5 linked regions of the Canis lupus familiaris genome follow. The protein of the gene in region 1 interacts with the protein of each later gene in a biochemical or structural test. Links are inferred from orthologs where the notes say so. Each region holds a gene or a part of one and is shown in the gene's direction. Other genes may lie near its edges. The genes, in order: FYN, KHDRBS1, ENO1, FYB1 and HRAS.

Evidence for each region.
Region 2: the proteins of FYN (region 1) and KHDRBS1 form a complex in vitro, tested with the Homo sapiens proteins (4 studies listed by BioGRID and IntAct, with this or other methods). The link is inferred for Canis lupus familiaris from reciprocal best matches to the Homo sapiens genes FYN and KHDRBS1.
Region 3: of the proteins of FYN (region 1) and ENO1, one has a biochemical effect on the other in vitro, tested with the Homo sapiens proteins (2 studies listed by BioGRID). The link is inferred for Canis lupus familiaris from reciprocal best matches to the Homo sapiens genes FYN and ENO1.
Region 4: the proteins of FYN (region 1) and FYB1 form a complex in vitro, tested with the Homo sapiens proteins (2 studies listed by BioGRID and IntAct). The link is inferred for Canis lupus familiaris from reciprocal best matches to the Homo sapiens genes FYN and FYB1.
Region 5: the proteins of FYN (region 1) and HRAS form a complex in vitro, tested with the Homo sapiens proteins (2 studies listed by BioGRID and IntAct). The link is inferred for Canis lupus familiaris from reciprocal best matches to the Homo sapiens genes FYN and HRAS.

What each region holds. Positions count from the first base shown.
Region 1 is NC_049233.1:68,718,183-68,724,204, reverse strand, and holds the start of FYN (tyrosine-protein kinase Fyn), read left to right. Parts: upstream 1-1,799; 5' UTR 1,800-2,165; intron 2,166-6,022. UniProt on the Homo sapiens protein: Non-receptor tyrosine-protein kinase that plays a role in many biological processes including regulation of cell growth and survival, cell adhesion, integrin-mediated signaling, cytoskeletal remodeling, cell motility, immune response and axon guidance.
Region 2 is NC_049223.1:68,528,749-68,534,248, reverse strand, and holds part of KHDRBS1 (KH domain-containing, RNA-binding, signal transduction-associated protein 1), read left to right. Parts: intron 1-1,476; coding exon 1,477-1,601; exon of another isoform or gene 1,602-1,783; intron 1,784-2,418; coding exon 2,419-2,535; intron 2,536-4,233; coding exon 4,234-4,380; intron 4,381-5,356; exon of another isoform or gene 5,357-5,500. UniProt on the Homo sapiens protein: Recruited and tyrosine phosphorylated by several receptor systems, for example the T-cell, leptin and insulin receptors. Once phosphorylated, functions as an adapter protein in signal transduction cascades by binding to SH2 and SH3 domain-containing proteins.
Region 3 is NC_049226.1:62,797,088-62,802,587, reverse strand, and holds part of ENO1 (alpha-enolase), read left to right. Parts: intron 1-431; coding exon 432-490; intron 491-2,472; coding exon 2,473-2,542; intron 2,543-2,967; coding exon 2,968-3,101; intron 3,102-3,522; coding exon 3,523-3,745; intron 3,746-5,007; coding exon 5,008-5,205; intron 5,206-5,500. UniProt on the Homo sapiens protein: Glycolytic enzyme the catalyzes the conversion of 2-phosphoglycerate to phosphoenolpyruvate. In addition to glycolysis, involved in various processes such as growth control, hypoxia tolerance and allergic responses.
Region 4 is NC_049225.1:70,767,463-70,772,962, forward strand, and holds part of FYB1 (FYN-binding protein 1), read left to right. Parts: intron 1-1,794; coding exon 1,795-1,817; intron 1,818-2,856; coding exon 2,857-2,926; intron 2,927-3,857; coding exon 3,858-3,995; intron 3,996-5,496; coding exon 5,497-5,500. UniProt on the Homo sapiens protein: Acts as an adapter protein of the FYN and LCP2 signaling cascades in T-cells. May play a role in linking T-cell signaling to remodeling of the actin cytoskeleton. Modulates the expression of IL2. Involved in platelet activation.
Region 5 is NC_049239.1:25,992,354-25,998,034, reverse strand, and holds HRAS (GTPase HRas), read left to right. Parts: upstream 1-2,096; 5' UTR 2,097-2,151; coding exon 2,152-2,262; intron 2,263-2,440; coding exon 2,441-2,619; intron 2,620-2,742; coding exon 2,743-2,902; intron 2,903-2,989; exon of another isoform or gene 2,990-2,997; coding exon of another isoform or gene 2,998-3,060; exon of another isoform or gene 3,061-3,537; coding exon 3,538-3,657; 3' UTR 3,658-3,970; downstream 3,971-5,681. UniProt on the Homo sapiens protein: Involved in the activation of Ras protein signal transduction. Ras proteins bind GDP/GTP and possess intrinsic GTPase activity.

The sequences.
Region 1 (6,022 bases):
GAGAATCATTGTTCTAGACAATTGCCTCTCCTGTCGCAATTCAAATCTAGGACAGAGGCTAGTACTAAGGAAGAGGAGCCCCTTCTCTCGAGATCAACAATTTTTGGCTAGATGACGTTGGCATTCTCTTGTAATGGAAACCTTTTATGCGTTGTTGTGGTTCCATTTCTTGGGACCGTGGAACGAATTCCCAGACACATAATTTGAATATGGCATCATTTATCACTTTAAGGAGGAAACAACACCCCGCAGTAATCACCCTATACTATCCCCTGGAGTTTAGTTACTAAGTTCTCTTGCCCTCAGTTTCTTCATCCATAAGATGGAGATCCATTAATAATGTTGGTAATTTTTTTTGAAAGTTTTCATTTATTTTTTTTAGTAATCTCTACACCCAACATTGCGCTCGGACTCAGGACCCCCAGATCAAGAGTCACATACTCTTCTGACTGAGCCACCCAGGCACGGGGGCAATGTTTTTCAAAGTACTGTGTACAAAAAAAAGTCAGCAAAAGTGACTGATATTTTTAAATTCTGGTTAAAAAACTAGTGGGCAGGAAAGGTAATATAGATTTTGAGCATAGAATCAGAAGCTAATTCACTTCTATTTCTCAGAACATTAGATTTGCTGAGGGGGAAGGGTAGGGTTCTTGCCAAAAGCACTAAGGAGAATGACTCTGAGCATGCCTTAAAGGAGAATTTTCAGTAAACAGGAATTACCTATAAAGAAAATCAGGAAGCCAACGTGTTTCTTTTTATGAAGTTACATCCTGCCATAGAAAAGCTGGATAGGAAATAAAGACTGATGCACTCCGAACTGTATACTTAACCGGCTATTAGTTCATCAAGGAAAATCTGAGCAAAAGCTGAGATTTGGTGAAGGGGAGGGGGGGGAACCATGAGTAGCGAAATGTCACGAGAAACCAAAGACAACCAACAGCTACAATTATACATGGTTTTGGGGGGAAAAAAACTATACAAACAAATCTCTACTCTGTGATTTCAGATTCCTAAGTCGCCACCTGCCCTCTCCACCCCTCCCCCTATTTCAATACTACTTCTTCCAGGCTTTTGCTTGAAAATAAATGTGTGCGTCCACGGAAATGCAAGAGTAATAGATTAATCTTAATCTCCTCCTTCTCTTTATTATTATTGATATTAACTGTGCGTTTCCAGGGTTCTCCGGGTCTTTCGGAGTTCCTGGGATTGGATCTTACCTTGCTCCACACTCCCCAGTGTGATGAGCGGCAACATCCTCACCACCTAACCCTTTCCCAGTTTACCCTCCCACCTTCAAATGAAAAGGCAGCAGAAGGGCAAGAGAGCCCTTTCTCCAGGCAGGTTCCCCTGGTTTTGGGTGCGGGGGGTGGGGGGGGGTGGGATGGCAGATGCCTTTCTGCAGTGGCAGCTGCAACCTCCCGCAAAGCAGGAGCTGCAGCTCGCACTGTCCCCTCCTTCCCCCGCCCGAGCCCACGACCTCGCGAGTCCACGCGATCCCCCGGAGCACACACAACTCCTCCAGCCTCGCATCCCCTCTCGCAGCCCACTCGGCACGCGCGCCAGGACGCCTGCTGCCACAGTAACGCCCCGCCCACTCGGCGGCCCCGCCCCCGCCGCGGCCCCGCCCCCGCCGCGGCGGCCCCGCCCCCCGCGCCGCGGGCACCAATGGCCGCCGGCCGCAGCTCCGCACGCGTGCTGCGATAGGCCGGCGCGGCCTGCCAGTCTCCGCGCGCGTCCCGCCCCGTCCTCACTCCGGGGCTGGGGCTGGAGGGGCCGGAGCATCCGCGCGAGTAGCTGCGAGCAGCCGCGGCGGCGGCGGCGCGTCCCTGCAGTTGCGCCATCTGTCAGGAGCCGAGCGGCGGGGAGGGGGCTGCCGCGCGGGAGGAGGAGGGGGCGCCGTGAGCGGAGGCCGCCCGCGAAGGCAGAGGCGGGCTGCCCCGGGACGGAGGAGCACGCGCGGCGCTGCAGCCCCCGCGCCCCGGCAGCGCCCGCCGCGCACAAAGCCGGCGAGAGGGATCCGGCCGCCGGCCCGGGCACACGCGGCGCCGCCCCCTCGGCGCCCTCGGGAGGCCCCCGGCTCCCGGGCCCGCCGAGCCGCCTCGGCCGCGCCGGAGGAGGGCGGGGAGGACCATGTGCATGGGCTCCGGAGCCTGAGCGCCGCGCAGGTAAGCGGCCGCGGGGGGCGGGGGATGCTGCGGAGACGCCCGCCCCCGCCCGGCGCTGCAGTCTCGCCGCCGCCGCCGCCGCCGCCTCCGGGGCGCCCCGCGGGGCTGCCGGGCTCCGGGCCGGCGCGGAGCGGAGCGGAGCGGGGGACGCCTCTGCGGGGCGCGGCCCGGGGGGCGCGGGGATGCGCGGGGGGCGAGGCCGGCCCGGGCTCCACCCTCGCCCTCCTTTCGGGGGCCCCCGCGGGGACCCGGCTGTGCGTGTGCGCGCGCGCGCGCGCGCGTGTGTGTGTGTGTGTGTTGTCCTAATGTCAGGGATGATGTAATCACTTAATAATTGATGCCCCGTGCTGCTCCCCTCCCCAGCGCACCCCACCCCTGCCCCACTCCCCCTCGGCCTCCTCCCGCGGCCGTCGCCGTCCTCAGCGCATCCTCCTGCCTATTTCTGGCACCTCCCTAGCACTTCCCCCATCCTCCCCTTCACTCTTCCTGTGCCACCACCCACCCAGCCTCCCCCGGCCCCCGTGCTGGAGCCCTCGGCCTCCTTCCTCTGCCTCCCCACCCCTTCTGCTCCCCCAGGCTCCCTTCTCCTCCCATCCCTGCCCGCTGGGCTTCCTCTCCACTTCCCCACATCGAGGACTGTTTTTTGTCTGGTCGCCTCCGCCGCTCTTATCTCTGCGGCCACAGGCGGAGGGGACCCGGCCAGAAAGAGGCCACCGAGGCTGGGCCCAGGCGGAGATTTGCTGGGACTCCGTGAGAAGAGGGATAATAAAAATCACCCTTCTTGCCCCTCCTCCCCTTAATAAATCACACAGACTCGCCGGGTGTGTGTGTGTGTGTGTGTGTGTGTGTGTGTGTGACACAAAGAGCCCTTTCAGTGCACAGAGAGGAGACGCACAAAGTACCCAAGGATGGGCACGATGATTCTTATTTCTCTTCACTAGGGCTTCCCTTTCTCTCAGATAAAGCAGTTGATTTTCTCTCCGAGAGTCTTTCCTGCCACATTGACCAGAATAAATAAATAAATAAAAGGCCCCAGATGCTGCAGGGTGGCAGGTGCTGTCATTTTGCCACATTCATGGACCCAGTGCTGTTGACTGGCAGCTGCAGTGTTCCTTAGATTTAAGGGGGAAATGATGCCAGCCGTCTCCAGAGTTGCTTCACTGTCAAGGTAGCCCTCCTCTGCCTTGTTTTAACCTCCTCTCTTCGGGGGATAGGTACTCAAGAGCTGGGGTGCAAAACATGGGTGTGGGGGCAGAAGAATTTTGCTTCTGCATCAGATAATTGGCGTTTAGTAAGAGCGAGGCAGCCAGACTTCTTCTCTGAAGTCTTAAGAAATGCTGAAGTCTTGAAATGAAATTTCGTCTGCCCAGTGGTGTTGTGTTGGCCTTATATTTAAACAAGTTTCTGGGGACATCAAAAAAACATGGCCTAAGTTGGTATTTGGAAGACCACTGGAGACCGTGCCTCTTCCCTGCTTCAGAGTAGCCTTCAGACACCCACATCCTTCCTCTCACCACCCAAGCGATGGCAATACTTTCCACCCTTTGTGCTCTTTCTCCTGAGTCCTGATCCCATGGGTACTGTGCTTGCAGATGTAGGGACTCAAAGGCTTTTGGAGGAAGTGGTTTGTTAACTATCTCATGTTTGGGCACACTTAAATGAGAGCAAAGGATGTAGAGAATCTTGTGAAGGAACTTTGAACCATCTGTTTGGTGTTCCTCTCAAAGAGGAAATGTTAATGTAAATCTAGAGGCTTAATGTTCCATTTTGTAAGCCGGTGACCATTACATGCTTAATCGATAATGTGAAAACTTAGTTTGAACCCCATTGATTCCTAAGAACATGGCTCCTTGACTATTGTAAGGAATCCGTTTCAAGTTTGTGCTTCAAGAATTTTATCAGAAAAGAGTTATGATTCACTAAACATTTACTTCTCCACTTTCTAAGGACATTCATCGTGGACCTTTTTATATTAAAAAAAAAAAAGCAATAGGGTTAATGAGTGTACTGTAAAAACAAAGGGTTGTTTGTTTGATGCCAGACCCAGGAAGGAAAGTCAGTGCACAATAAGCTCACACTGTGTTGACCAAGCTAAAGAGACTTAATGATAAGGTTGAATGTGAACAAATGCACACTCTGCTTTCTGTATTTACTCTATGCTTTGTACTGGGTCTGGACTCTCCAATCCCATCTGATTTTCTTGGGTTCTATTTAACCTTTCGGGCTCAGCTCAAAAGTCTGATGCTTTTTCCATCCTCCCCTCCAAACAAATCACCACGCCTCCAATTTTGTTTTCAGACTTCAGCAGTAGGCATTACGTTTGGCATGTCTCTGTTCCCATCATTAGTCGGTCAGCACATTGAGAGAAGGAAGCTGGACTTACTTATCCTATATCAATAAATGTAAATTAGGTCTTTGGTATGTGCCAGGCACCTGGACTCATTAAGCTAATTTTAGCAGCTATAACAAATAGGCCTGCAAAAATGTAATGGCTCAAAAGCAATAGATGTTTATTATTCCTCATGTAGTAGTCTACTTTTTAAATGCCTTGGCCTGGAAATGACACCCATCACCTCCACTCACATCCTGTAACATGAGGGTGAGTTATTTGGCCACATTTAATTGCTGGGGAGCCGAGGAATCACAGGTTAGCCCCTTGACAAAGAAAAGAGATCAAGAAGAAGTGTATTTTGGGCCAGCAGCTTTGCCATGTGTTGGCACTCAACGAGGCACAGTCATTGCCCTCAAGGAGCTTGCAGGCTGATGAGAATTAAAATATATGGAAACCTGGAGCCTGTACCCATCAGTGTTTTATTCTTTTGATTTCCTGAGTTCAGACCTTTTTATTTTACACGTGTTTTAAAAAACTTTGCTTTTTGTCGGTTCAAGCAGCTAGTTCCCACTCAGTGACTACTTTTAATACAGGGATCTCATGCCTCTGCTGTTGACTTTGATATGGTTCTTTCACTCCAGGAGCACCTATTTTTGGCCCAGGGTTGTTGTTGTGTTTTTTTGTTTCTGTTTTCTTGCTGATTTTTAGACTCCCCACGTGGCTAGGAGGATCCTTAGAAATCACAGTTCCACCTTGGCAAGCAGACTGCAGAGGAGGAACTTCTTGCCTGGGGCCATGCTAGTGGGAAGGGAGCCCCAGCAGGCCCAGATCTCCCTCCACCTGGGCCCCCTTCGCCACACAGCTGCCCTGACTTGGTGACTGTGACTGCTGTGTATTCCCTGGAGACTGAGTGAGCTTCCAGACCTCCAGGAGCAGGGCAAACTGCTAGTGTTCTGGATAGTGTCTGTTCTCCACAGGCCTCCAAAGTGTTGGAGCAATGCAGTCCATACTATTCATCATACTTAATAATGCACATATTTTTGCTACAAGCAGTTCATTATATTCATCTGTTCTGCAAACATTAGCCAAGTGTGTTATTGTGTGCAAGGCACTGGGAGATAGGGTCATGAAAATGAATGCTTCTGCTGTCTTTGCTCTTCCAGGGCTCACAATCTGCTAGAGGAGATGAAAACAGATAAATAGTAGCTAACTTTTATTGAGCATTTACTATGTGCCAAGCAGTGTTGAAGTTCTAGACCTTTTTTTTTTTTTTTTAAAGATATTATTTATTTATTCATGAGAGATATGAGGGGTGGGGGCCGAGACACGGGCAGAGGGAGAAGCAGGCTCCATGCAGGGAGCCCGACATGGGACTCCATCCTGGGACTCCAGGATCACGCCTTGGGCCGAAGGCAGGCGCTTAACCGCTGAGCCACCCAGGGATCCCCTGAAGTTCTAGTCTTAACAATAATGACATGATGTGGTTTCACTTGTCCCCATCTTACAGATGGGAAATTGAAGCAGG
Region 2 (5,500 bases), on another chromosome or scaffold:
TAACACAAATCCCAGCAGTCTGTTGAGTAAGCCCCCAGGTGATTCTGATGCATACTGAAGTTTGAGAACCATTACCTTAAAATTATAGAAGATAGAGAGGTGCCTGGATGGTTCAGGCGGTTGGGCATCCAACTCTTGGATTCAGCTCAAGTTATGATCTCAGGGTCATGAGATCAAGCCCTAGCTTGGGCTCCCTGCCTAGCTGGGAGTCTGCTTGAGATTCTTTCCCTCTGTCCCCACCCCCCACATTAGGGCAGACACATTCTCTAAAATAAAATATTTTTTAAAATTATAGAATTTAGAAACTGTGGGAATAGTATATAAGGAGGATATTTGGTGTTACTTAGAATGTTCCACTGACTTTAGGGAGTATAAATTTCTTTTTTGACTGTTTTCAGTGGACCATATAACCTTTTGTTGCTATTCATTGCCTTTGCGCACACTGCCCCATCTCTGTTAGTACTCTTGTCATAGTACTTAAGTGTATTTCACTGCCAACTTCATAGACTGGGATTGTCAGTGTATAAACATAGTGAAGAGGGAGATCATATTTGACTTATTTTGTTGTGTATCCTATACTTTATAGGTTAGATGCCTGGCCCTTGGCAAGTCTCCCCTAGTGGTTAATGATCATTCCTATATCTCTCCCTTATCTGCCTCTCCATAGGAAGCACTCAAATGCTTCCAATGAGTGGATGAAGTTCCCTAATTATAGGAGATCTTTTTGGATACTAAGATGATAGTTTCATCTGATGAAACTGTCTTAACCTGGGAATTGAAAGTACCTTGGTTTTCCTTTAGGACATTGAATTTGCCTAGATAATGTTGACCGTATATCAAGCACTTCCTAGGAAATGGGTTTTAGTTGGTGTGTGTATATACATTATTTTACTCGGTCTTTATAGCAGCCTCATGTGAAGTAGGTATTCCCCCCATTTCACAGATGAGGAAACCAAAAATTAGGGCAATTAATTAAACAACTTTTGAAAGTTTACACAACTAGTAAATGGCAGACTAAGAATGACGTCTTTCAAAAACTCTTAAGAACTACTATGATCCAAAGCTCTAATATCACAGTGGAATTTTAATGGAACCCTTCATTTTATTAGTAACTTTTGTTTCTTCATCAGGACTGTGCTCTTTTTTTGATACAGACTTTTTATTTTTAAGTCATTTATCCTCTTTTCCCCATCTCTCTGCATTTGTTTTGTTAAATTCATTTATTCTTGAGAAACATTTGAATGGCTCTGATGTAGAGGCTTCAGGTCGGGATGGAAGAGCAAACTACTTTCATAAGAAGCAACCTCTGGGTTTCCTAGTTAACTCTGTACACCTTTGATGCTTTCAGCCAGTCTCTATCTGAAATTAGCACATTCATCTGAACTATTTGGTCTTATGTTGTTTTTGCTTTATGCAGACTTGGATATTTGCATTTAGTTACCAGAACAAAAACTGAATTGTGTTTGTCTTATTCAGAAATTGAGAAGATTCAGAAAGGAGATTCAAAAAAGGACGATGAGGAGAATTACTTGGATTTATTTTCTCATAAGAACATGAAGCTGAAGGAGCGGGTACTGATACCTGTCAAGCAGTATCCCAAGGTAAGGCCAGACGTGCCTCACTTGGTTGTCTTTGTAGGTGTGAGAGCCACGGGCTATAATAAAGACTTCTGGAAATTGTGATGCATTAGGTCCTTGAGCCTGTGAAGCTTCTCTTCCATACTTGTAGTACTTGTTTTTGGTAGTTGAAACATCTGAGTCTGTAAGTAGCCGTATACCTATATCTAGGAAGGAAATATCAACTTTTTATTACCAAAAAGAGTTTCTTTCTCAAACATTCAGGCTCCAAGTTCAAAGAAAAAAACTGAAGAGTTGCTCTCTGTCAAAAGATTGATGTGGGGAAAAAAAAAGATTGATAAAATCTCAATACAGGGAATATAGCACAAATCTTTGACTAGATGAAGTTAATTTTATTTCTTAATCAGTGTTTTACTTTCAAATAAATACTTTCTTGTTTTTCTCCTCCTCCTCCTTTTTTCCTTTTTTTAAAGAAAAGAAATTAGTTATATTTAGTTTACCAAACAAGTACTATAAAAGAATGCCATATGTCTGTTCTGTAGTCACTGCCTTAAAAATATTTGTTTGTTGAAGCAGTAAGGGTTGCAGTGTGATAATTTGGAAAGAGCACTAGACTACATCTGGAAACCCAAGTTCAAGTCTAGGAACTGCTGCTTTCTATATGTATAATCTTAGACTATTCATTTTTTTCAGTGTATCCTCAGCATATCCTTTTCAGTAAAATAGGAATGGTAATATGCACCCTATTTTGCAGGGTTGTAGATCAAATGAGACAGTAATACATGTGGAAGTGTTTTATAGGAACATACGTATTTAGAAATCTATTTTTCTTTTCTGTCAGTTCAATTTTGTGGGGAAGATCCTTGGACCACAAGGAAATACAATCAAAAGACTGCAAGAAGAGACAGGTGCAAAGATCTCTGTGCTGGGCAAGGGCTCAATGAGAGACAAAGCCAAGGTAAGCTCACATCAGTGAGGCAAAAAGACAATGCCTCCTGGAAGCCAGTACTTATAAAAATACAGAATGTGAATCCCTTAAATTTGTGTTGGGTGTAAGAGATTACAGACCTAGTTAATTTACTTGTTTGGCAACGCTGGAAGAGGCTAGGTGTGCCCTAGTGGTTTTTTTTTTTTTTCCTGACTTTTGACTGCCTCGTAATAGAAGCAGCAGTAACAACTTTCACATTTGTAAGCTTGTCTCTGAAAACTTGGAAGGGAAGCTGTATATGCTAAAACTTATCCAGACTAAAGACACTAAAATGTGAACAGCACATTCCCTTTCCAGTAACATTGAAAAATGAGAGCAGTAATGTTGTGAGTACAGGTGAATCTGAGGATTAGTTGTCTGGGTTTTTTTAGAGCCAGTTGGAATGTAAAGAACACTAAAAGAAAGTATTTCAAAAGGAACCATAGTAATCCTGACAACAGAACCTAATGCTAATTTTTTTTCCCATGTCGTAGCCCATGAGCTTTGTATTCTTTATAAGCACTCAAAAAAAAAAAAAAAGAAAGAAAGAAAGAAAATTCTACCAAAACAGAATAGTCTTAGCATTCTAGGGTCAGCTTTTTAGATGAGATATATCAGGTACAGTCTAAGAACTTAGTCATTCAGGGCTCCTTTTATGCAGCCTAAACTGATGAACATTGTTTTCTTTTATCCACTCACATTTCTCACTAGATGAATACACTTAGGGCTGAAGTATGTTATTCTAGCTAATGAGATTTTCTTCACTCTATCCTGACTTCTTTCCTCCCCTAGAACATCCCAGACAATAAAAAGAACTGGTACTGGGACATCTGGCTGACTTAGTCACTAGAATATGTGACTCTTGATCTCAGGGTCCTCAGTTCAAGCCCCACAATGAGGGTAGAGATTACTTAATGAATAAAAAAAGTTTAGGGGCACCTGGGTGATTGATTCGGTTAAGCATCTGACTCGGTTTCAGCTCATGTCATAATCTCAGGGTTGTGAGATCGAGCCCTGCTTTGGGCTCCTCACTGGGCATGGAGCCTGTTTAAGATTCCCTCTCCGTCTCCCTCTGTCCCCCCACCCCCAAAATAAATAGTATTTTTTTTTTTTAGTGTAAAAAAAAAATGAAGAGCCTGTGCTCAACAGCTCTACCTAGGATTGATTGATTGATTGATTGATTTAAAAGATTTTATTTATTCATGAGAGACAGAGAGAGAGGCAGAAACATAGGCAGAGAAGCAGGCTCCATGCAGAGAACCCAGTGTGGGACTCGATTCTGGGACTCCAGGATCATGCCCTGGGCTGAAGGCAGACACTCAACCGCTGAGCCACCCAGGCATCCCTCTACGTGGAATTTAAAAACAAATGCTTGGCAATGAATGAATGCATGCATGCTTGGCAAACAGCTTATATCTGAATGAAGACTGGAATTAAGTTTCTCTCTTCTACACCTAGTAAGAGCTGCAGTGAATATACCATGGACTCAATACAGTGGTTAACTTTTAGTAGCAGACCAAATTACAGGTTTAGCAGGTTGTGTGAATTACTATCCTCTAGACTTTGTTTGCTTTTGTCTTACACTTTGCTATTTTTCTTAGATATTTAATTTCTTTCTCTTTGAGCTGGAAATAACTATCATTTTCTCCCATTCTATGTGATGTGATGTTTTTCTGCATTTTTCCATAGGAGGAAGAGCTGCGCAAAGGTGGAGACCCCAAATATGCCCACTTGAATATGGATCTGCATGTGTTTATTGAAGTCTTTGGACCCCCATGTGAGGCTTACGCTCTTATGGCCCATGCTATGGAGGAAGTCAAGAAGTTTCTAGTACCAGTAAGGAAATCCACATCCTATATCTTTGAGCAAAAGAGAACTGGGATCTTGTACTGTTGCTAATAAGGCAGGGGTTCTTAATCATGATCTCTGCATAACCTGAAATTGCATACCAAATTCTGTATTTATGTTCATTTTTCTGAGGTAGTGTGTTACTTATACCTAGTTCTCAAAGCACTGTGCCCCAAAGCTACTCTACCCCTCCTTGTCTAATGTGGTTTTGGTTATATACCAGGATCTATTGTTAGTATCTTGGGTCTGCAGTGTGTCTGGCGTTTTAACATCTGATTAACAAAGATTTAACAGTCTTCACTGAATTAAGTGTGTTGGTACTAGTGTGGAACCAGGAGGTTATGATAAGAAGAAGGCTAAGATAGTCGTAAACTCCTTGTACTCAGGGGTTAATGTTCTAGACTTTGGAGAGTGTAGAAGATAACAGCAAGAGGCTTCTAGCATCCAGTGTTAATATATTAAATTTTGACCTGGGTGCTTTCAGGGCTTTCTCTCCTGGAGGAATTTACTGACATGGAGTTTAATTTGAAAGAGGCATGATTTTATAGTCTTGACTATTGATATTAAACAAATTGGTGTGCAGTTCCTTTCAGAGTGTAACTGAGGCCCACAAAGAATTGGGACAGACCAGGTTACATATCTTGCTTATTTTACCACCTGGTCAGAGGGTCCATTCTTTGAATAAGCAGAAAATGTTGTGATTTTTGCTCAGCAAGACTTATTAGTTGTCAGAGTTAACAAACTACAGTTGAATGTTTAATAACCAAGGATGAATCTGGAACCTTAGGAAGTATGTGAAATACTCTTAGCTAGAATTGAGTAAGCATCCTGTTTTTATCACTAAAACTAATAGGAGGTGAGATACAGTTCTTGGTTTTCTTGAATATGCAAAATGAGGAGTTGGAACTATATGTGTCAGAGGATGTGAGAATTGGTAGAGCAAAAATTTATAGGCAGTGTGTACCTATAATGCTGAGCTTCAAGAATTTCAACACTGTCTCAGATGTCTCAGCAGCTGCTTGGCTTCCAAGTACTTCATCTTCGTTAGAATGTTCAAACATGAAACAGCCAATTTAAAATATCCTAGAGAAGAACTCAGAGCTGGTAA
Region 3 (5,500 bases), on another chromosome or scaffold:
GTTCTCTTCTGAGTGTCTTTTTTCCTTCTCCGTCAATCTCTACTGGTCAGGTGTCTCCAGACCCGTTAAGTATATTAATGAGTTCCTGGCACCAGCCTTGTGCACACAGGTAACACATTGGACATCCTGTAGTTTCTATGGCTGGTGTTCTCAGTGCATGGTCTTGCCGATTAACCCCCCTTCAGACATTCTGAGATGGTTGCTCTGTGTGTGGCTCTAATCCTTGGGGGTCCTAGGTAAGAGCACTCAGACTGGGCCAGAATGTACCCCGATTCTGGGGGCACAGAGAAATGGGGATTTGAAAGCTTTCCCGTTTACGGTCTTTGGGTGGGCTTCCAGATATCTGGGTTAACGTCATTGGTAGTTCGCTCAATGCTGCTCAAGCCTGTTTTTCGTTAATGTCGGTAATTTGATATGATTGTTCCTTCTAGGTGTCTCAAAGGCTGTTGAGCACATCAATAAAACTATTGCACCTGCCCTGATTAGCAAGGTAGGACCTGCCTCCTGAGAACTAATGTATTAATGCCTTCAGAGCGTCTCCCAGGCCAGTGGGCTTTCCGGGTTATAGAAGAGCTTATTCTGAGAGCTAAAGTAGCCAGTCGGATTCCCTGTCGTGCATGAGAATTATCTCACCTTTTCTCATCCACCCCCTGCCTGCGTGTCCACATCTAACAGCGCATGGAATTGGAGTACAGTGACGGGAGACCGTCTCATGGCCTTAAATTTTTTTTTCCCCTCCAACTATCTTGACCTTTGGGAAGTTAAAATCGAAATTTTAAGGGCAGCTCTTGGGCATTGAGCATAGTATCTGTGGTGACTATTTTTCATGAACTATGGAATTATTTACTATATTTCTACTGACGTTTTTGAAACAGAGGAACTGTGGTTAAAAATCTTACTTGGAGCCTTAGTGTGTAGAATAGTAGAGCTGCTGTGGGTGAAGTAGGGAGGAGGGGCCAAACAACCCAACAGCCCCTCCCCCCCGGGGCCCTCCCTCCATAACTTGGGTGGCATTTGTGCAGGTCGGGGAAGATGTGCAAAGCCCTGGCTAGAGGAGCCTTCTCTGGGTCTGAGGCCAACCCTGGCCTCCCCACCTGAAGTCCTGTATGCCAGTGGCAGGTGGAAATATGTCCCCCTGGCTCACTCACCTTGGCCCGGCCTTCATGGCACTCGGTAATTGGTCCCAGACGGTTTCTCGTTGCTGCTCTTCAGGCTCACACGCCCCAAACTCAGTCTCCTGGGTACTTCCACACACCCTGATCTTTGTGCCTGGTGCCCTTGCCTGGCGTGACTCCTCATGACCAGGGCTTTCCGGGACATTTTTCTTCCGCTATAGGGGAGACCATCTTCAAACTCCTAGTGAGGATTTGCCCCAAGCCATCATTCCTGGATGATGGCTAACTCCTGCCAAATGTGTTTTGTCAAAACAAATGTCAAATTATTATTTTTTTTTTCAAATGTCAAATTATTAATGTGGCATGATGGGAGTTGGGGATGGTTTTCTTTGCCTTTTATAAAGCACATAATAAGTAGTACACATTATGATCAATTGTGAAGTTTTTAAAGTAATGCTGACATTCAATAAATGAGTTAGTTTTTAAGACACCAGTTTTTGCAGGGGTGGATTTGGGGTTCTTGTTTTTGTTAGTGGATTCCATGCCCAGCATGGTGCCCATTTGGGGCTTAAACTCACCACCCAGAGATCTAGACCTGAGCTGAGATCAATAGGCAAGTGCTTAACTGACTGAGCCACCCAGGCATCCCCAGTTTTTTGGGTTTGTTTGTTTTTGAGTAATCTACCCAACGTGGGGCTTGAACTCTGAATGCCAAGATCCAGAGTTGCCTGCTCTATCGACTGAGTCAGTCAGGTGCACCTTTAAGATACCAGTTTATTGCTTTATACTCTGACCAGAAATACTCATCTAGAGCTGTCATCAAGCATCTTGCTGAGTGATTCTGGGCTGCCTGCAGAAGTCCTGTTTGCCACGAGACAGGGAAGTGTGCCATCACTGGGTATAGCCGAGCGGTGGTGGTGTCACTTAACCTGTGAGGAGCCCAGCTCATTTGCGTGAACAGAGTTCTGCTATGTACCATTTCCACATCACACTATTTTGTGGTGACCTTTGTCAGCATGTGCCAGGCAGTTCTGGCTTCCGTGTGGTGCCACCGGGACCATGTCTGACATATTTTACTGCTGGCCCCGGTCCTTGGAGAAATGCCTGCTGCCAGGAAAGCAAGTGACGTGCGCTTTGGTGCCTCCTGTTTTCTCTCCATTCCCCCCCCTCCCCCCCCCCCCCCCCCCCCGCTTCTTTTTTTTTGCTTTCCAGACACATAACATAGAAGTGATTTGGACTTTGCACAGTTCCAAAGTTAACTGGGTTCTGTCACAGGAGCGCAAAGGTCCTGTGAGGGGTATGACACTGCCGCCGCCACCCCCATCCCCCCGTGACTGACCCTCTCCTCTCCCCGCAGAAAGTGAATGTTGTGGAGCAGGAAAAGATTGACAAACTGATGATCGAGATGGACGGGACAGAGAATAAATGTGAGTGGTCAGGGGTGGAGGCTGCTGGTGTCTCCCAAATACCTTCCGACCCTCTGGGGGTGGTTGTGCGGTCCCCACTGAGGACTGCGCATCAGTCTGGGGGCTTTTCAGGGCCCCCCTCCTCACCTGAATAAATCACGTTTCTAAGTATCAGGAGCAATACCAGGTGACAGCAGCACGCAGTTTTTGTGGAATTTGCCAGAGTTCCATAGACCAAAGAAAGGGCTTTCTCTTGGGAGAAAGCAGATAGATGAGTTCATGTGGAGAGCTGTTGGGTTTCTGGTTCGGATTCGGGGAATAGACGTGGTCAGGAGAGGAAAGGTTCCAGATACAGGCCATGGTATATGCTGGTGTGGGGGTGCAGGCCGGAAGGTCAGCAGGAAGCTGGGAGTATGAAATTCCTCAACTGAATTGTTCTATTCCAGCTAAATTTGGTGCAAACGCCATTCTGGGAGTGTCCCTGGCTGTCTGCAAGGCGGGGGCTGTCGAGAAGGGGGTGCCCCTGTACCGCCACATTGCTGATTTGGCTGGCAATTCTGAAGTTATCCTGCCAGTTCCGGTGAGTGGCTTGGAACTCCAAGTGAGGAGCTTGTGGGTATTTGCTTTGTGGGAACCTAAGACCTCCCACATCTTGGTGTCCTCCACATGGAACTCTCCCAGCACAGTGGGCACGCGCAGGCCCTGGAGGTCTCGGGTGCAGACACCTGCCACTTGCTAAGAATGACCCTGAGTAGAGGACTGTACCCCACATCCCTTACTGCTGATGAGGGAATGAAAACCATACTTGCTGGGTTGTGAATGTTCTCTGAGGTCATAGCTGGTCCTCAGGACAGTAAGCACACCTGGTGGTGACCGCTGCTCTTAGCGGGAGAGACCTGGTGAGCATTTCAGAGCCACACTGTGAGCCATGCAGTCGTGAGGAGGTTGCTTGGGGGCGCTCTCTGGGCCAGATGGCTGTATTTCTCTCTATCTCTCCCTAGGCCTTCAATGTCATCAACGGTGGTTCCCATGCTGGCAACAAGCTGGCCATGCAGGAGTTCATGATCCTTCCCGTCGGTGCAGCGAACTTCAAGGAGGCCATGCGCATTGGAGCAGAGGTTTATCATAACCTGAAGAATGTCATCAAGGAGAAATATGGAAAAGATGCCACCAATGTGGGCGATGAAGGTGGATTTGCTCCTAATATCCTGGAGAACAAAGAAGGTAAAGGCTCTGGAGGAGTCCCCGCATTCCGTGGCACTGCCCGCACGCTTAGCAGATGTGCCGGAACTGTGATGCAGGGAGCTCTGGTCCTTCCACCTTCTGTTCACCAAGCAGACTTCTGGGAACAGATGGGGAAGCTAGTACTTTATTTGTTAAAATAAGGAATTTGCTTATTAATTTGATTTCTGAGTGGCCTGGTTGCTTATTTAAGATTTTATTCTTTTGAGAAAGAATATGGACAGGGGGGAGGGACAGAGGGAGAGGAACAAGCAGACCCCCTACTGAGCAGGGAACCAGATGAGGGACTCGAGCCCAGGACCCTGAACTAAAGGCTCAGATCAGGACCAGAGCTGAAGGCAAACACTTAACCAGCTAAGCCACCACGTGCCCCTACTTGCTCTCTTGCCATTGAACCACCTCATAAGGGCAAAGGTTTGAAGTCCGCACTGTGTCCCGGAGATGTCGTCTGTCCAGCCCGTGACCAGGAGCCCCCCCCCCCCCCCCCCCCCCCCCCAGTTCATCCACTACAGGGCTGTTCACACAGTGCCTTGTTGCCTGGAGCCCTTAGGCACAGGGTTCAACGTAAGAGTTGGGTAGGGCACAGAGAGTCTTAAGAGGAGAACTCACGGCTGAGCTTTTTGTTTTAGAAGGAAAGGAGGGTTCAACCACATTTTGTTGTCTCAGGGACAACTAGTAAAGGAAAAAGCATCCATCCTGCTCTTTGGGTCAGTCATACAAAATGCTGAGGCTCAGCTACTTTGACCTACAAAAAATGACCCTTTCACGTGGTTTAATGGGATAGCTTGGAGATCTGTGGTAGGGAGCAGACGCCAAGTGCCTCTGTCCGCCTCTGTCCGGGCAGCTCTGCCGTGTGAGGCCGCCCTCGAGCTGGAGACAAGAGGCCCCAGAGGCCGGGCCTCACCCTTTTGCTGCCCTCCTGGGTTCCTAGGACAGCGGCTCTCAGCTGGTCACTGTAACTGTCTCAGCCAGCACAGTCACTCCTGGCTGCTAAATTTGGGAGCATGTGTCAGCAAGAAACTCTCTGAGAGGAGAGACTAAATTTTCCATTTGGCCGTCTGCTGGGGGCCGTTTCCAGCAGGTTCTTGCTCCAATGCGGAAAGAAGTACTGGACTCGTCAAAGCGATGATTGGGGTCAGAGTACCTCGTGGTCATTCTGTTAGAGCTCCCCATTTGGCAGCTGCTGAAGGGAACTTTTTTCTCCACCTGCCTGGTTTCCAATCCTGTCGCCAACCTCTTTCCAGCTCTGGAACTGCTGAAGAATGCCATCGGGAAGGCTGGCTACACCGATAAGGTGGTCATCGGCATGGACGTAGCTGCTTCCGAGTTCTTCAGGTCTGGGAAGTATGACCTGGACTTCAAGTCCCCTGATGACCCCAGCAGGTACATCACGCCTGATCAGCTGGCTGACCTCTACAAGTCCTTCATCAGGGACTACCCAGGTGAGCGGGGCAGGCGGGCACTGGTGGAGCAGTGGAGTCAGGTGGTTCTGGGGTGCCAGCCAGCACTGACCTCAGGTGGTAGGTGGTCTCCAGAGTGTGTGAGCCCTCTGTCCCTATCACAGCCTCCTGAGCAAAGGCTGTCCTGGCTCCATCGTGAGCAGAGCGAGCCTCAAGCCTGCTGACTGCCCGTGGGTGACACAGTGAGCTGGCGCTCCTCTAGTCTCTATGTCACTTCACGCACGCAGGGTAGGGACTGTTCCTGCTGTTTCATGAGGGGAACTGAGGCACGGAGTGG
Region 4 (5,500 bases), on another chromosome or scaffold:
AGCTATCCTTCTCCTTTTTTTCTCAACTGAAGCTATTTCTGTGATAAATATGAGACACTGAGGAAAAGGAAATTATACATGCAAATACTTCATCACATAGCAAACTTGCTTCTCCGCTCCCCAAACTTCTTTGCATCTCTCCTTCCCTCCTTTCCTTCCTTTCTCTTTTCCAGCATGCTTCTCTCCTTCCACTTCATCCTGTAAATGCCAAATGGACCATTTTAGGAAGCTAAAGAATTGCTCTAAAAATAAAATAATGTGTGGCAGCTTTGCTCCTGATTATTAAGACTCTGTTCGTTGGGAATTGGTAGAAGAGTCTCCAAGATGAAATGTATTTGCCAGGAGTGGCAGCCAACCAAAATTGCAATTTTTCACATAATTCTAACTGCTTGCTTCACGCTCAAAGGGAAGTGTCAGACAAAATGAATGTGAAAACAGTATGGAAGCAAGTGGAGAATATACTTAAACTTCATCAAAAATCAATTCCTTATTTACACATTAGGACATTTATAGCATGTTTTTCTACAAAGTTTCATTAACTAGAGTATGGTGGTATTTTTTTTCCCCTAAATTAACCATAGACCTGTGTTAGAACATTTCTTTTATTCTGACTTTAAGGTTGAGGAATCAGATACAAGTGTATAATTAATACTGCATGGTTATAATATTAGCCTGATATCTGTTGCTGGCAGATTATCCAAAGTACAAAAATGCTAGTTACAGAGGGTGCAGCGAAGTGTAGACAAAACATTATGGAGGAAGGCAGGATGCCGAAGTTCTTATGTCAGCTCTTCTGTTCATTAAAAGTGGGTTTGGTCAGGTCACTTCATTTTCCAGAGCCTCAGTTTCCTTTCTACAAAATGAGGGGATTAAGCCAGTCCTCTGAGATTTTCCCAGTTCTCACAATCTACTTTTCTTGTGCTGTAGCAGAACTCACATTTTAGTGGGAGACACAGGCAAGAAAACAGATGATTATAAAACAGGGAAAACACAAAATGTTAGAGAAATAAATACGAAATACAGACAATATGGATTTAGAAAATTCAGGGCCACACTATTTGCAATAATAATAAAATTTCGGGGTACCTGGTTGGCTTAGTCGGTTAGGCACCCAGCTCTTGATTTCAGCTGTGATCATGATCTCAGGGTCATGAGATTGAGCCCCGAGTCAGGCTCTGCTCAGGGTGTGGAGCCTGCCTAAGATTCTATCCCCCTCTTTCTCTCTGCCCCTCCTCCAATTTGCACATGTGCATGCGCAGTCTCTCAAATAAATAATCTTTGTTTTAAAAAAAGAATAAGATTTTGTAAGATTCCAAGTTTTTAGAAACCCTCCCTTTAAAAAAAGTTTATAATGCTACTAGACTAAGATCAAAATGTTGTGGGTATAACATATTAAAAGAGAATTGAATTTAATTGCAATAATGGTTCTTTATGACTCCTGGAACAATACTGCTGGTTGGTTGGTTGTTTTTCATAAATCTATCTACAGAATGATATAATAATGTATAACCTGAAAACTACCTCACGGGAAATGTTAGAAGCAAACAGTAACATTGTTTTGAAGACTTTATGTAGTACTAACGTTCACTTGGTTCTTATTAGTTTGTTTTGGTTTGGTTTTTGCCTTGTTTCTATTATGATAAGGAACAATGTTTCTTCCTCTTTACATACAACATCCTGATAACTTTTAACTGCAGTGTTATTTCTCTTTTACATAACTGTTCAATATAGGCAATTCCTTCCCATTAGCTACATAATTCATAAGCTCATTTAATTTGTTTATTTTTTTCCTAGCCACAGTCAGAGTGGAAGTGGAGGTAAGCCACACACTTTTATCAGCAATTTCTTTATGTCTTCACCATTTTTGTCTATATTAATAACAAGATGCTTTTGTTTGCACATAATGAGGAGGATCTTAATGTGGTACCACTGGATTAGGAGCTAATGACCTAGATTGCAGTCCTGACCACTGAGTGACCCTAAACAAGTCACTTCTTTCCTCCAAGTTTGTTATGGGTTATAGGGTGACTCTATTTCCAGTGTGCCCAGGGCAGTCTTGATTTATGCCAATTGTCTGAGCACAATTATTAATAGTATCCCCCTTCACTTTCAGAAGTATCCTTATTTGGATGATAACTTATATGGTTACCTTAACTATGACAGCTAAAAACTCCTCATATCCTCATCACCAAAATAAAGGTATTTTACTAATACCTTGAAGTGCTAAAATTCTCATCCTAAAAGTCAGATTATAAGTTCTTTGTACACATTTCTGCAAGGAGGAGGTACTCAATAAACATTTCATAAATAAATATTTGTCAAATAGCAAGGTTCCTGGGGATTTACAGCAAAGGGTTTTTAACTCCTAAAATATCACTTTGATTAAATGAATCAGAGCTACCACCAAAATTCACAAATTCACGTTTAATTCTGTTTTTCTTCACTTATATCTTGATCATTCTCTTTTTCTGAATGTCCCCTCACTATTAATTAAATTTTTCTTATCACCTCCTCCCTCCTCTTTTCCACAATATTTTAACTCTATCTTCAACTCAGTTTTATTTTTTCTCATATTTATTCTCCCCACTGCACAGTACCCTTTATTATCCTTCATATTCAATATTCAAATTTCACCTCTAAGAATTCCTTTAAAAATAATCAACAAAACAATTAATTTACCTACTATCTATGTAAGAGTGGGAAAATAAAGTTATTCTTTAATTAAATGGTTAATAAGGAACAGGGATATTTTCTGCAGTTTAAATAAGGCAGATTTATTATCAAATTTTGAGTGACTATTACATGACCAAATTATAAAATTAACAGAAGTTTCTCTCCCCCACCATCCAAATGAAGGGATGTTCCCACCTCCTCCCCCAGATGATGATATTTATGATGGGATTGAAGAAGAAGATGCTGATGATGGGTAAGAATAATCAGTGAACTGCTTTCTTGAAAATTTTTTGCCAACTGAAATTTAGTGTCGATTTCTGGTTTGAATAAAAAAACAAAAAATAGTGCTCCTTATTACCACACGAATAATAGTTTGAATGTTTACTTAATAGCAGATGTAAGTCAGAAAGTATAATTGCACCACACTTCAAGTGAAGTGGCATGTTATTTGGAAGAATCTCAACAACTTTGTCAAAAGAAATGAAATAAAAAAGAATTATCAGTGTTGTAGTTTTTTTTTCAAACTTTTCACAATCATTTTTTTATCAATCTATAATCTCTGGAGAGTTTATCAGTTGTATGGCTATCCTCTGGATAATAACCATAGTTATAGGCAATCCAAATAAAATGAAACCATATGCTATTTGTGGCAAAACTAGTATTGAGGGGGATGGGGTAACTGGGTGACAGGCATTAAGGAGATCACATGATATAATGAACACTGGGTGTTATGTACAACTGATGAATCAGTGAACTCTACCTCTGAAACTAATAATACACTATATGTTCATTAATTTAATTTAAATTAAAAAATAAAAATTAAAAAACAGTGTTAATTCTCTAAGTGTTTAAACTTTTATAATGGCATATTTTAAAACAAAGATTTTCACTTAATTTTAAACATAAAATAATGCAAAATTGACACTTATAACTTAATTTTGATTTAGCTTGCTGTTTTAAAACCAAGAGATATTTCACTAAATAGAAAAAAATAACTTACCTACCAGTAGCAGCAATATTCAAAGACCGTGGCCGATAAACTTAAAAGCATCATCTTGGTGACTACAATGAGTAACTTACTGCCTGAATGATCAATGCAGTATAATTATAAAAAATCTGAATGTCCACCCATCTTCACATTCCATTGATGATTCCATTCTGATCAATGCCTGCATGCTCCTAAGCTCCACACTACAGGTTGAAGAGAAGAGTAATTCGTGGTCCTGGGGGATTTTGAAGATGTTAAAGGGAAAAGATGACAGAAAGAAAAGTATACGAGAGAAACCTAAAGTCTCTGAGTCAGACAATAATGAAGGTTCATCGTAAGAGTCAACCAACCAAATCCAGTGCACAATAACTACACTAATATTAATTTAATCAAATGCTACTAATATTTTATAACCAATAACCAAATTCTGACAGGCTTAAGTCACTTCGATGTCATTTTCCATTAGTCATTTTAGCCTTATTTACTGTCACCCTTACACTCACGCATTTATGTAAGAGGAACACAAAGTATTCAAAAATTATCATATGGTTTAAAGATATATTTTGCCTTCCCAACAAACATGTGCAGATAACACACACAAATGCACAAACACACACCCTCACATACTCCTACATACTGCGTTTAGTAGAACTTTTTTTTAAATGTAGCATCATATCTAAAAGCTCACAATGCCAAGGCCACATTATATTATATAATATTTGATAGTGACTACCCTTCAAAATATACATCCTCTTTTAAAAATTAATTTGCTGGAAGTAAAGGACAAAATTTGGAATTTCTTTTCTCTAAATAAATATTCAACGTCTCGGTAGCTCAACAGATTCTCCATACTTCACTAATGTCTTTTTAAATGTTAATTCCACATAGAATTCCTTATTTTAAACTCTTCTGTGAGACCTAAAATCAACACCTAGTAAACAGGACACTCAAAATTGTAAATAAACATAACAAATCCTCTTTGATTTTAACAAATCCTCTCTTGATACAGCATTATTCAAATGATGACCTTACTTAGAAATAAAGGCAGAGATTATTTTTCTTGCTCCTATTGTACACCTCCTAATTTTGATTTTCAGTCATTTGAACTAATGACCTTTCACACCTTAGTATAACTGTGCACCATTCTTCTAGAGATGTGTGTTTGTGTGTGTGTTTAAAGTTCAGAAAGTTATAAAAGCAAAGGCCTTTTTCTGTTGCAACTAAATGCCACCCAATGCTGATTTCAGATTACTGATTAGATTGCAACTAAATGCCACCCAATGCTGATTTCAGATTAATAAACTCTTCCTCTGTGGCTACAGTGGATATTCCTCTCTTATTCACCATTCTCCTGTTTGGGAAAACATGGTCATAGAAAGAATCCTATGACCTTTGTTCATTTCTACTCTTTAAGTCAAATAAAAAGTTTTGACCTGAGCTATGCCACAATGACTCCAAAACATTGAGTCCATTTAATTTACTCTGATGTGATAATATGCCCAAACTTCAGAGAACAAATCTGAAAATATTTGGAAGAACCTCAAAAATAGATGGCTATGGGCAAAATAAACCACTGGATACCTTGACTTTTGACTTTTTTGGCCACCATTGGAATTAAAAAAAAAAAAAAAAAAAGTCTTGCAAAATTGAAAATTGATGGAAAGGAGCTGAGACTCAGTGGAGAAATGGAGATGAGAAAGGAATGACCATCAAATAGATTAATTAGCAGTCTGAAGCCTCTGGGCTATTACTTGTTCATGCCTCCCCTAAATAAAAGGTCTCAATTTCTCGTTTATATTGGTCTGATTATAAATGTGTTCTCATTTTCTTTCCAGTTTC
Region 5 (5,681 bases), on another chromosome or scaffold:
AGCCTGGGCCTCCTGCGGGCTGCACCGTTCTTCCTTTTTGTAAACAAGCACGGTGTGTTGATGCACTACTTTGAAATTTAAAATAAAATGTCGAAACCACGTCTTTTTTGAAAGTCTGGAAAAGATGCGGGGTGTGCGTGTTCGCGCTCCGGATGGGGGAGCCGTCGGCACGCAGCCCTCGGGCAGCTTTCGGGCTGGTTTGCAGAGGGCCCATCGTTAACTGGGCCCCGCGCAAGCGTCTGCAGGGCCGGAGCCTCCGGGCTAGGGGGCTGGGCGGGCCGGCCTGCAGGGGGAGGCTGAGGAGAGGGGCGAGGCTGCGGCCCAGCGAGACCCCTGGGGCGGGATCAAACGATGCTCCGCGCCGCGCTGCCCCTTGTGGCCTGGGCGCCCCGGGTGCCGCGCGCACGACGAAGCCGAGGTGCCAGGCGCCCGTTCCGGAGCCACCTGATGGGAACGGGGGTGTAGGGCACCGAGCCCCGGCCATGAGGCCCCAGAGCTCGGGGCGCGGCCCGGCCTGCCCCGGCGCCCGCCTCCCGTCCCGGCCGTCCGCCCGGCGCGCCGACCCTGACCCTCCTCGAGCCTCGTCTCCCGGCCTGACCCCTCCGCTGGGCCTCGCGGCGCAGGGAGCCCCCCACCGCGGGACACGGGCTCCCGCCGGTCTGCAGCGCCCCCGCCCCGGTGCACCGCCGCCCGCGGTCCTGTCGGGCAGCTCCCCGCGGAGGCCGCCGCCCCGGCCCGCGCCTCTCGCGCTCCCGCCGAGCGCCCGCGGGCGCAGCCCAGCCCCCCCAGGCCGCGGCCCACGAGGGCCTCCGGGGCCGGGCACCGCCCTCCGCGCCGCTTCCCGGAAGCCCCGCCCGGCCGCGGCCCGTGACGGGCGGGCGGGCCGGCCAACCGGCGCGGGGCGGGGCGGGCCGGGGCGGGGCGGGGGCGTGGCCCGACGGCCGCGGCCAATGGCGAGCCGCGCCTGCGTGACGGACGGGCGCGGGGCGGGGCGTGCGCGCCCTCCCCCCCGAGTGTCCGCCCGCCCGCGCCCGCAGCCCGCAGCCCGAGCCGCACCCTCCGCGGACGGAGCCCATGCGCTGGGCGAGCCGCGCGCCCCGGCCCCGGCCCCCTTCCCCGCCCCCGCCCCGGCCCCGGCCCCGGCCCCGGGGGCAGTCGCGCCAGTGAGCGGTGAGTGCGGCGGGGGCGGCGGGCGGCGGGGCGGGGCGGGGGCGGCCGGGGCTGCGGCGCCGGGCGGTGGAGGCGGCGGCGGCGGCGGGGCGCGCGGGGGCGCAGGTGAGCCGCGGGCGGGCGCTGCGGCGGGTGCGGGGTGCGAGGTGCGGGGTGCGGGGGCGCCCCGGGCGGCGGCGTCCGCGCCCTCTCCTCCGCGGGCCGCGTGCGGGGCCCCCAGGTCGCCAGGCGCGCCCCCGAGGCCCGGGCGGCGGGCGGCCTCCGCGATGCACAGCGGGCGAGCCGGGCGTTCGCACCGGAGCCCCGGGCACCGCGTCCCGAAACCTCCCAGACCGGGAGCCGGGCCGGAGGCCGCGGCCCAGCGCCGTCCCCGCGCCTACCCCGCCGGCCTGCTCCCGGGGCCGCCATCCCCGCAGCCCGCCGCTGCTCTCCTGCGAAGCTCGAGCGGCCGCGGGCCTGGGGCTCCCCCCGGGACAGGAGGGCCCGGGCCTCGCCCCCGGAGCAGCAGCTGGCGGCCGCGGGCGCTCCGCAGATGCTAGTCCGGTGCAGCGAGGCGCGGCGGGGCTCTGGCCTGCCCGGGCACGCTGCTGCACTCCGCTGTGGCAGGACCTGTTTCTGCGGGGAGGGGCGGTAATCTCAGCCTGCAGGGCCTCCGGGTCCCTCCAGTGCACGCTTTCTGCCTACCCAGCAACTTCTAATTTGGGTGCGTGGTTGGGAGATGCTCTCAGCTGTCAGCTCTCCCTGCTCTCTCGCAGCCATGAGCGCCGGCGAGGTGCCTACCCCCCCCCCCCCGCCGCCCCCCCCGCTGGAGGTGCCACAGGTGGGCGGCTGCGCCCGGTTCCCTGGTTGTGTGGGGCCTGGGGACCGGGTCGGGGCCGGGGTGGTCTGCCCCACGGGGCTGGCTCAGGGCTGAGAGCAGCTTCCTCAGCAGGTGGGACAGGAGACCTCGTTGGCGTCCTGTGCTGCGTCCCGTGAGGAGCCATGACGGAGTATAAGCTGGTGGTGGTGGGCGCTGGAGGCGTGGGCAAGAGCGCCCTGACCATCCAGCTCATCCAGAACCACTTCGTGGATGAGTACGACCCCACCATCGAGGTGAGCTCGCCCAGCCCTGAGCCTGCTGTGGGCATGTCTGCTGTGGGCTCCGCAGGAGGGCGGCCCCTGCTCGTGGGACCTGGGGGTGGCACCTGGGGACCTAGGAGGGGCTGGTGGCTGGGTGGCCCCGTCCTCGGAGGTGTGGGGCTGGGCGTTCTGAAGCACTGGCCTGCCGCAGGACTCCTATCGGAAGCAAGTGGTCATCGACGGGGAGACGTGCCTGCTGGACATCCTGGACACAGCGGGCCAGGAGGAGTACAGCGCCATGCGGGACCAGTACATGCGCACGGGGGAGGGCTTTCTCTGTGTATTTGCCATCAACAACACCAAGTCCTTTGAGGACATCCACCAGTACAGGTGAGCCTCCGGCCGGCCCTCAGAGCCACCTGTTCCTCTGCCTCTCATCGCGTTTCTCTGTCAGGGTCTCGGATGCAGCCGTGCCTGCAGCCTACCGACTGGCTCCCACCTTCCTTCTTGTAGGGAGCAGATCAAGCGAGTGAAGGACTCTGACGACGTGCCCATGGTGCTGGTGGGGAACAAGTGTGACCTGGCTGCTCGCACCGTGGAGTCCCGGCAGGCGCAGGACCTCGCCCGCAGCTACGGCATCCCCTACATCGAGACGTCAGCCAAGACGCGCCAGGTGAGCCGGCTCCCCACCCCGCAGCTAGCTGGGGACCCGCCCCGCCCCGCCCCTGCCAGGGAGCAGTGCTTATTGCCCCCTCTCCCCCGACACAGGGCAGCCGGTCTGGCTCTGGCTCCAGCTCCGGGACCCTCTGGGACCCTCCGGGACCCCCGTGACCCAGCGGCCCCTAGCGCTGTAAGTGTCCCCGGACGGCAGGGCAGCGAGGGAGGCCGGGGCCCAGGGTTTGGGCTGACACAGCTCCAGGGAGAGGCAGAGGTCCCCAGAGAGAGCTGCCCTGAGCCAGGCCGAGTGGTGACCCTGGGGCCCTGGCCCCTGCCCGCAGAAAGCCCCATGGGCCCGTGTAGGCCCTGCCCTCTTTAATGGGCTGTGGGGGACCAGGGTGGTAGGTCAGACAGGAGCGGGACCCTGGATGTTAGAGCTGGGAGCCAGACCTCGGGGCTGCCCTGTGGGGGAGCTCCTGAGGGCCAAGCCGCCTGATGGGGGGAGCCCTGGGGCTGCCTGTGTGGGGGCGGGGTGGGGAGAGGCCAGGGGGAGCTGGGATGATGCATGAGCTTGACGCTGGGGTCCCTCGGTCCCCTGCGCTGCCAGGCCCCCGGGCCGAGCCGCACGCTCAGCCAGCCCCGTCTTCCCAGGGCGTGGAGGATGCCTTCTACACGCTGGTGCGAGAGATTCGACAGCACAAGGTGCGCAAGCTGAGCCCGCCCGACGAGGGAGGCCCAGGCTGCATGAGCTGCAAGTGCCTGCTGTCCTGACGTCCCCTCCAGGGCCACGTTGGCAGCCCCGCTGGTCCTCTGTGCCCCAGGCGCACAGGCTCGGGGCGAGGAGGTGCCGGAAGCTGGGAGGAGGCGCGGAAGGAGGAAGGAGGAGGGCGAGGAAGGAAGGAAGCGCCCCCGGGGCCCGGCCAGCCCAGGCCCCCTGGACAGGGGGAGCACGGACCTCCCAGGGCGCTTTGCACAGACTGTCGTGAACTGAGGCCACGGGCCCCCCCGGCTGTCACTCTCCCCCAGTCCCGTCCTTGCCCGCGGGGCAAAGGCTGAGTCGCAGTAAATTATTTGATGGTCTTGACCCTGGCGTATGGCCGCACCTGCAAGGCACGTGGGGACGTCAGCTGTGTGTGCCTGGCGGCGCCCCTGCAGGGGCTGGTCGGGGCCGGGAGGTCCCCCCTCCTCCTCTCTGGGGGTGTCTCCACACCCCGTGCACAGAGCTCCGGGAGACGCAGAAACGAGCCGGCCGTGCATTTTCACACAACACCTTATTGAACTTGCAACAGCAAACGGGCTCAGAGCCGAGGGTGTGCGCCTTCCCCTGGGAGACCTTCCTGTCCTTAGAGGAAAGCGGGAATCCCACGGGGGTACGGGTGCTGGAGTCGCCCACTTTGGAGCCTGTGCGGACTCCGGGTGGGGGTGTGTGTCCTGAGGTTGGGGTGTTGAGAGGCGGTTCTGGGGACAGCAGAGCTGGCCTGGACCTGCGGCCCATGGGCTCCTGCTCTAGGTCCCCGCAGGGCAGCTGGACCCCGGCCTCGGGCCCACTGGGGCCGGGTGACTGACTGCTGGAGCCCCAGCACGTGGAGGAGCCTGCCTCCTGGTGTGGGTGCGGGTGGGGCCCACGGGCCTGCCCCTGCTGCCCTGCCCTGGGGTGTCCCGGGATCCCCAGGGCTGCCCTAGGTCAGTGACCTGGATCTGTGGGGCACGCCCAGGGCCCAGGAGGCCACATCCGGCTCTGAGAGGGCTCGCTCAGCCCGGGGCCAGAACGCAGGCCTGGCCAGGGCCCCGGAGCACTGGATCCCATTAGTGCTGGGCCTGGGGGGCAGTTCTCGAGTCGCCCCTGCCCCCACAGAGCCTGGGGCCAGGCCAGCCCAGGTCCCTCTGGGTCAGGGGTTGGTGTCCTGTGCGGGGGGTGCCGCCCTCCGGGAGGGACAGCAAGATGAGGCAGGGCACGGTGACGGCGGGCCAGAGCCTCTGGGCCCCCGCACTCACCACCACGCTCTGCCCGCGAGCATTGAGCTGCCCTGTGGACGCAGAGGGCAGAGGGTCCCGGGCCTGTGCGGGGCCTCGGGGCAGCGGGCTCAGCGCCGCCCTGGCTCTGCCCTGGCTGTGCCCGTCACTGCCCAGCGAGAGGCATGAGCTGCAGTGGCCGCGGGGCAGGAAGGGTGTCCTGGGCCCGACAGCGTCGTCCCTAGGGGGCTGGGGGGACCCCGTGATGGGAGTCCCGGGGGTGCTCCAGGGCCTGGTCCGTCGCGGGGCCTCTGGGGTGGCCCAGGCAGGTGCCGAAGGGAAGGGGACCCCGTTTTTTGTCTTCAAGCCCACCGTGTCCGGGGGCCACCTGCCCGCACCGTCTTGTTACACTGGGAGGGTGGGGAGGGAGTTCCATCGCTGGGGGGGAAGTTGGACGATGGCCTGGCTGGGAGGGGGTCCGGGCGGCTCAGGCTGGGTGGCTGGGCCCGGGGAGGCCTGCTCCTCCACCCTGGGCGGTGGCTCAGAGGCCGGAGAAGGGAGGAGAGGCCTGGGCGCCGGGGACACTCGCTTCAGGCCGAGGGGCCTCGTGGGGAACTCCAGGTCCCGCTGGAAAGAGGCTGACGGGGTCAGCGTCTCCAGCAGGCTATGTGTTCCCCGCTGGGGGCCCCGGGGGTCCTCAGCTCCCTTGTGGCCCCCCCGCCTGACCCTGTGCTCAGCCCCCCACACTGGTGCCCGGGCCCTGCAGTGGGTGCCTGCCCGCCCAGCCCTAGCCTGGAGTCCCCAAGGCTAGAGCAGAAGAGGAGAGCCCCAGAGATGAGGAC